Linked DNA regions of Drosophila melanogaster. The protein of the gene in region 1 purifies or fractionates together with the protein of each later gene. This does not show direct contact. Each region holds a gene or a part of one and is shown in the gene's direction. Other genes may lie near its edges. The genes, in order: elg1 and Br140.

Evidence for each region.
Region 2: the proteins of elg1 (region 1) and Br140 purify together in Drosophila melanogaster (affinity purification with mass spectrometry; 3 studies listed by BioGRID, with this or other methods). This does not show direct contact.

What each region holds. Positions count from the first base shown.
Region 1 is NT_037436.4:16,130,358-16,134,485, forward strand, and holds the start of elg1 (enhanced level of genomic instability 1), read left to right. Parts: upstream 1-1,670; 5' UTR 1,671-2,156; coding exon 2,157-2,881; intron 2,882-2,936; coding exon 2,937-4,128. Other genes in the region: SsRbeta (signal sequence receptor beta), read left to right, coding at 149-346; Trs20 (TRAPP subunit 20), read right to left, coding at 749-1,081, 1,139-1,225. UniProt on the Drosophila melanogaster protein: Has an important role in DNA replication and in maintaining genome integrity during replication stress. Promotes PCNA deubiquitination.
Region 2 is NT_033778.4:7,276,502-7,280,101, reverse strand, and holds the start of Br140 (Bromodomain-containing protein, 140kD), read left to right. Parts: upstream 1-2,000; 5' UTR 2,001-2,219; coding exon 2,220-3,363; intron 3,364-3,429; coding exon 3,430-3,600. Other genes in the region: Incenp (inner centromere protein), read right to left, coding at 1-995, 1,061-1,241, 1,305-1,373. UniProt on the Drosophila melanogaster protein: Scaffold subunit of the histone acetyltransferase (HAT) Enok complex which has histone H3 acetyltransferase activity.

The sequences.
Region 1 (4,128 bases):
CAGAAGCCACCGCCAAAGCAAACCAAAATCATTCACTTTTAAATTTAATAATCTCAACTAAGTGAATTTATACACAACAGTCTTTTAAAAATGCCCGTTACCTGTTGAAAGATCGATCAAAGAACTTAATACCCAACAATTCTTGCAGCTCCAACTGGCGGTCAGCTCTGAGCCCGGTGAGGGTGGAATTGTCAACCTGAACGAGTACAACAAGCGCTTCTCCTCCCATTTCTTCGACTGGGTGGCCTTCGCCGTGATGACTCTGCCTTCCCTGGCCATTCCTCTGGCTCTGTGGCACCAGTCCAAGAGCAAATATGAGCGCTCTGGAAAGAACAAGAAGCACTAAGCTGCAGGACGGACGGTTTCCTCGCCACCACCAAGAGATTTCTTTGCAAAGACCCATTACAAATTCCGTATATTTTGTTGCTTTAGTTTCAAATTGATTCCATGCGTTGTTCATCTATTCAACCCACACATCTAATTTACTCCAGTCTGGGACTGTCGTCTGGAGACGGGCGTTAAATCGTTTTAGATTTGATTCGAGGGCGCATTGAGTAAAAAGTGAATAAAACAAGTCCATCAATGTTAAGCCTAGGCTGCTTTTCTAAATAAATTAAATAAAATATAAACTAGATTATTCATTGGTTTCGGGTCTTCTCAACTGTATAAGAAAGGGTAAAGTTATGCTTTTAAATTATTTCAAGTTTTATATTACACAATTACTTAATGGCTACAGGTTTTAACAAATTTATGATAACAAATACTTCCGACCAAAGATCTCCGACTTCTTCTCAAACATCGGAGATTTAATGGGTGTGTTGATGCGATAGAAGGCATTCATGGAGTTTTTGATATACGTGTCATACATCTCGTTAAAGAAGTTCTTGATTCCCTCGTCGTTTTTGTTGTCATGAACGATGATGAATCGTATTTGGCTGGCTGTGATGAAGGCCGAAACAAACCACTGATTGAATCTATCAATGGATTTCAGCTGCATATTGGCCGTCTTCCATTTGTGCTCATCCACCAAATCCAAGGCGGCATGGGCAATAAACTGGGTGAGGTGCCTGTGGTCCTCTTTCTGCAGAAGGAGAATGTATTTACACAGTTCTATGAGACGTTGCCCAGGTCTACATACCCTTAGTTCCTTGTTCACGGTGCTGAATTCCTTCTCGTAAATGGGATTATCATTTTGACCCACAATAACAAAGTAGTATGTGGACATTTTCACGAAAACCAAAACAGTGTAAAGGGCAGTGTGACCAAATCTGGAAAAGTTCCCATAATACCAAATCGAATCAGGTCATCTAAATTACCACCAACAGCTGCGGTAATTTAAATAGAAACAACATTTTATTTTTTAAGCGGGAATATTTAATAAAACTATAAAATACAATGTATAAAATTGTATAAAGAACAAATATAATTATAATTAATATAATATAAAATATAATTAAATATTAGGTGATTCCTACAAATGTATTTCATTCTGTTTTTGTTCTCTACTAATACACAACCTTATAATTATTCCGTTTAGTCTTGGTAATTATATTATTAATATAAAATCATTACTTCACAAAGTAAAAATAGAAATTTACAAACAAATTATTAAAAAGCATAAATGAGAGTGCAACAAATTAATTTCTGCCTGGCCGATCAGTGCTGGAAATAGTTACCCCTCCACTGTTTACCAACACCGTTTCTTCGCGCCTTTTTTCCCCCCAGCACATTGTGCTAACAATTTATACCTTAAGCAAACTTGTATAAAATGATATTTAACGCATAAAGTAGACACCGGAAAGTAATAACATATTGAGGCCCAAGTACCGTTAGAAAGAGGATCGCGATCAACGGGACACCAGTTCGATCGCGGCAGTGTGTGTGCGTGTGCGGGAGTGTAACAAATACGAAAAACGAAAAGTCGCTGCGAAGGTAGATCTCATTATTATTGTATTGTTGTCATGTTTTTGCTTTTGCCCCCGATCTTCATTTGCGATCTTTTGAGTTTGGCTTTCGTATTATCTGTAGATATATCAATTGCTTAAGTACTTAGATCTTACAAAAGAATACCACACCATACACAAACACACGCACACACTCAGCAAAATGCATTAAGCCTAAACCCAAAAAGAAAACAGCAAAAGAGACCCACAAAAATGACCGATGTAAATTGTCTTACAAGTGAGCACATTGCACCCACAACGACCACTGCGAGTCCACCAGGAACTCCCTCCAAAAATGCGGCCACGGATCCCGTCGAGCCCACATCTCCGTTCGTTCTGAGAGCACCGCCCAGCGCCAAATCCAAACTGATACTCCAGAACATGGAGGAAGTGCTGAACTCGGTGAAGCAGAAGCATCGGGAGAAGCACAAGCGAAAGCGGGAGGAGAAGCGCCGCGCAGCACTCATGGAGGACCAGAAGAGCACCACCGAGGAGGTCAAGGCGAATGCCAAAGAGAAACCGCAGCCACTTCGCGAGAAATCCTCCCAAGAAAACGGTCTCAAGAACGGTCGGCGGCGGTCCAGTCCGCTGAAGTCCAGCACTCCGGTGGCCGACAATCAGAGCATCATGAAGCACTTCGCCAAGGCGGGAAAGCCGGAGAACGTGGGTGTTTCTCCGGTGAGCACAGCCAAACCGAAGCCAACCACCAATGTCTTTGAGTTCATGATGAATGCTCGGAATCGCTCTCTGGGGGTTAATGAAGGTGGGGCAGAATCTCCCGCGGATCAAGAAATCGGCAGTGAGGCAGCAACGCCGACCACCAAACGGAAGCTTCTCCTCCAAGAATGGAACGAACGCAAGGGGGGAGCCAAGAGAAGACTAGCGGACGAAGCTCGCGGGGAGTTCATTGAGCTGCAGATGGAGCAAAGGGCAAAGAGGTGAGTTTGATTAAGAATTAGATTCAGAGCGCTATACAACATTTTATTTCCCTAGACTGCGAAAAATGCTGACCAAGACTGACGCCAAAGAGGTGACGGCTCCATCCTCGGCACCCACGGATCCAACAGTCAAGCGTCTAAGAGGTCGACCGCGCTCTCGACGAATCAGTTCCATGGATGCACAGAACCAAATTGTGGAATCGAAGCCCCCGGTCGTGAAAGCAAAAGATCAAGATCCAGGAACAGAGGAGCTTCTCTCGAAGCTTTCGTCGCCCACGAAAAAGCGTGACAGCCTGCTGGGCTACTTTCCCAAAGTGGAATCCCCGAAGGAGTTAGCTGAAAAGGTGATCATTGCGATAGAAACCCCACCCATGGAGACACCCAAGCGAAGAACACTGCGCAGAAAGAGCCAGCAAGAGACACCCATTGTAGCCGAATCCACTCCCTCGTCAAGACCAAGACGATCGTGTGTGGGCAAAGCGCGCTACGATTACGATCTGGAAACGAGTCCCGGCAAGCAACAAAAGGCGAAGCCCCAAAAGGCAGACGAGTCTGTAGAGATTATTGACCTAGACAATAGTAATCCAGCTGCCACACCAAAGAAACTAGCGCCGCTATTCGTCCGTCAATTGCCAAAGCCCAGCCCAGATCCGTCGGTTTTGAAGGCTCGACAGGCGTTTCTGCAATCCGGAGTTCCGGACAAAATTCGACAGGAGCAGATCCGTCAAAAGAACTTCGACCAGATGTACGAAGATAGCTATGAAGTGTTTCCCAGACTGGCGCATATAGGCTGCGAGAGCTTCGGTTCAAAAAACGGTCCTCTGGACATTCCCTTTGCTCTGAGGGCAGAAGAGGAATATTCCGAGGTTACGAAAGCGTTACCCGCCAACAAACGACGTGCCAAAGCGAGTAGCATCACCAGCTGTCTGCCCGCGGATTTTACATCCAGCAAAACTTTGAACAAGTTCAACTATGCAACTTTGCCACAGCTGGAAAATAAACGTGGCTTTGTGAAGCTCTGGAAGAATGATTTCGATCGGTTTCCCACCTTTAAGTGCTATAACCAGATGAGGGAGAAGTATCGCCACTTCAGCGCCATTGACAGTGCACAGGATACGCAGCAAATGGGAGAATCACTGGTGGTAACACGTCGCACTCGCCGTTCAATGGAGCAGAATATGGCACAGAACGAAGAGGAGGCGAAACCACCGCCTTCCGCTCCGAATGGCGAGCTGCTCTTTACGGAG
Region 2 (3,600 bases), on another chromosome or scaffold:
CGGCAGCTTCTCCTCCACCGACTCGTCCTCCGTTAAGAGGCTGTCCTGCTTACTCAGAGGTTGTTTCTTGTCGTTGGAGTGCACCTCAAAAGTGGCATCTCCAGCTGGTCCTATTGGACTATCGCTCGTCGGCGCAGGACCCAGTACGAGGGTGGCGTTGGAAATCGCCACGGTCTCATTGACAGCAGCCGGAGCAACTGCAGCCACTGATTGCTCTGCAACGGGCGGATCTTCGAGTGCATCCTTGTATATGGATCGCTCCTGAACCGTTCGCGAATCGCTGCTACACTTGCGCGTGCGCGACGAGACTGGCGAGCTCTTGTCCAGGTCGCTGAATCGTTCCACCTTTATGGGTCGGTGGCTTTCCACGTCCTTCTTCTTCTTGCGGACCTTCTTGGAGACCTCCGTGGATGTCGTCGTGTTGCTGGCCACCGTATCGTCCGGTCGCGCTGCCTCCGTTGTTACAGAGGAGACGGTGGTCACATTTGCCGTGGAGACCGCATTGGTTAACGGGGGCACTGCTTCGGTACTGAGTTTCTCGCGCTTTACCTTCACGCGGAGTGTCTTCGTGGTGTTCACGTCCTCTGTGACTGAGGCCTCCTCCGGAGGCTTTTGCTGCTCAGCTGTTTCTGCTGCTGGCTCTTCTAGTTCCGGCTCCGCTAGTTTATTTTCCTCTAACGCCTGTGCACTGGTGAAGCTGTTAAACTGGGAGACTCGCTGCTCGCTCTCAACCTTGACCTTTACGAGCTCCTCGCTGCTGGGCCGCCGCATCTTACGGTTGAGTGAGGGCTCCTTGAGTAATTTCTCGGTCTTCAGCTTAGCGGCTCGCTGTGGCCTTCCGGAGCCGAGGGTGGTGTCCGCCGAGACGGGCACAGGCGGAGGCGGCATCAGCGAGGCCGTGGAGTTGTGCTCGTCCTCGGCGATAGCCAGCAACTGGGAGTTGCTGACCCGAGTGCTTTGACGGGCCGACGTGTTGTTGGCCGTGGCGTCTGGAGCTGCTCAAATGGAATATCACAGGGGTTGTTGGTCGTTAATGCTTTAAAATGGCCAGGATACTCACCCTCGGGCTCATTCTGATCCTCGGCCAGTGAGGTGAGTCGCTTGGGGCGCTTTTTCGTTTGCTGCGGCGTCACCGAAGAGTTCTCCTGACTCTTCGCTGCCGGAGCACTGTCCCTCGGTTTGGCCTCCGCCTCCGGCTGGCCTGTGCCGTAGAAGAGGTGGTCCAGCTCCTCAAAGTGGGCCTAAAAAACACATATGACGCCATGTTGACAGTGTCGGAATTTCGTCTCCTGATCCTGGCTTACCTTGCGCAGGACCTCGAGCTCCCTGCGCAGGTCCGAAAGCGAGCCCAGCACGCCCAAGATGTCCTCCATATCTAGCGACTGTATCTGACAAACTGCAAATCCGGATTCGGTTCCTTCGATTTTATCGTTTTTTTCAAATGGCGGCAATTGCGACGCGCGTCAGCATTTGATAACATGCCTTTAATTGTGCACTGTTGACAGTTAACAGCTCGTCGGGTGCTGTAAGGCGCATTTATGCCTCTGCTTTCCAACACTGCACGGGCGATAAAGTTCCCGCGCAAAATGAAAAACACAACCAAAACTTGTTTTTTGAGTGAATATTGGGAGATATTTATTTGAATTCTTTAAAATAATATTATTGGGTTATTTAAATAGTTACGTACTGGATTTCTAGCCCTGTAAATTTTGAAAGTATAACATTAGGTGAACCAGTTCCAATACGTTCCCGCCACTACCATCTCTAGAAAGCAGTGCTGCACGGCTCCCCAAAAAACATATTGTAAACAAATTTGAGGGAAAATGGTAAGGGAAAGAACAAAAAGGAACATTTAAATTATAAATATAGATTACGGAAGAGAATTAATTTGCGTAAAGGACCGGAAATATTTCAAACAAGTTTCAGCAAACGTCCAGTGCTGCACAAGCACTTCCGACGATAGTATCGCCATGGCGAGCTGACCAGCAAGCCCATCTCTAGCACATTTGTTAAAAAATTTGCAACAAGCCAACGAAAATCGACCAGGAACGGTGGACAGCCAAAACCGCGCGCTCTGCGACGACCACCGTGGGATGCACATACGTATGCGCAGCCGTGCCGCGGAGTAGACACAGTGCCCGCGATCCGCGACCAGCGAACCGCCAAACCCCGAGAAGCCAGCTGCAGCAGATCCACAGATCGCGCCGCAGATCCAGATCATGGGCCTCGACTTCGACGCAGTGGAATACTGCAAAGGGGTGAAGACCCAGCAGTCCCAGCCGCCTTTCGCCTGTCCCGTCCGCGGCTGCGACCGCAGCTACAAGACCATCATGGGTCTGCAATACCATCTTATGAAGTACGACCACGACAACCCACAGCCGCTCACGCCCGTGCTGACTCCGAGCCGCAAGAAGGCGCGCTCACGCTCCGGCGGCCACCACTCCACGCCTCGTCCGCACAAGGATCACCCCACGCCGGGTGGCGGTGGAGCTGAGGCCAGAAACGGCTGCTCCTCGGCCAGCGCAGGAGGTGGATCGGCGAGCGGAGTCAGCGCCCGGCAGTACGCCAATCCAGAGTCACTGGTGTCCTACAACGAGGAGGAGGCCACGGTGACGTTTAACTTGGACGGGAAGAGCGTGCGCCTGGGCATCGACGACGCCTTGCCGCTCGTAGAGGACGAAGAGTTCGCCGCCCTAGTGGCCAGGGGCTGTATTCTGAATGCCGACGCACCACCGCTGGAGGAGAACGCGCCCTGGGCAAGGGTCCAGGTGCCCGTGGCCAGGGTGGCCGAGATTCCGGACTACCGAGTGTCCGACGCCCCGCCACGGCCGCTGGCCTACTATCGCTTCATCGAAAAGTCCCTGGAGGAGCTGGACGGGGAGGTGGAGTACGACGTTGACGAGGAGGACTCCGCCTGGCTGGAGCACATGAACGAGGAGCGCCAGCGACTCGGCCTGAACGCCGTGGGCATCGACACGATGGAGCTGCTGATGGACCGGCTGGAGAAGGAGTCGCACTTCCAGGCGGCGGCCAACGGCACACCCACAGGCGTCGAGGTGGACGACGACGCAGTCTGCTGCATTTGCCTCGACGGCGAGTGCCAAAACACCAACGTGATACTTTTCTGCGACATGTGCAACCTGGCGGTACACCAGGACTGCTACGGTGTCCCCTATATCCCGGAGGGCCAGTGGCTGTGCCGCCGATGCTTGCAGTCACCCAGTAAGCCTGTGAACTGTGTGCTCTGTCCCAATGCGGGCGGCGCATTCAAGCAGACGGACCACGGGCAGTGGGCGCACGTGGTGTGTGCGCTTTGGATACCGGAAGTGCGGTTCGCCAACACCGTCTTTCTGGAGCCAATAGGTGCGTAGCTCGATCTCCCAGTTTCTTTGATCCCAGTTCCAAATAACATCTGAGTTCTTTTTATAGATTCAATTGAGACCATTCCCCCCGCTCGTTGGCGACTCACCTGCTACGTGTGCAAGGAGAAGGGCTTGGGAGCCTGCATCCAGTGCCATCGGAACAGCTGCTACGCCGCCTTCCACGTTACATGCGCACAGCAAGCGGGCCTCTACATGACCATGGACACGGTTAAGGACG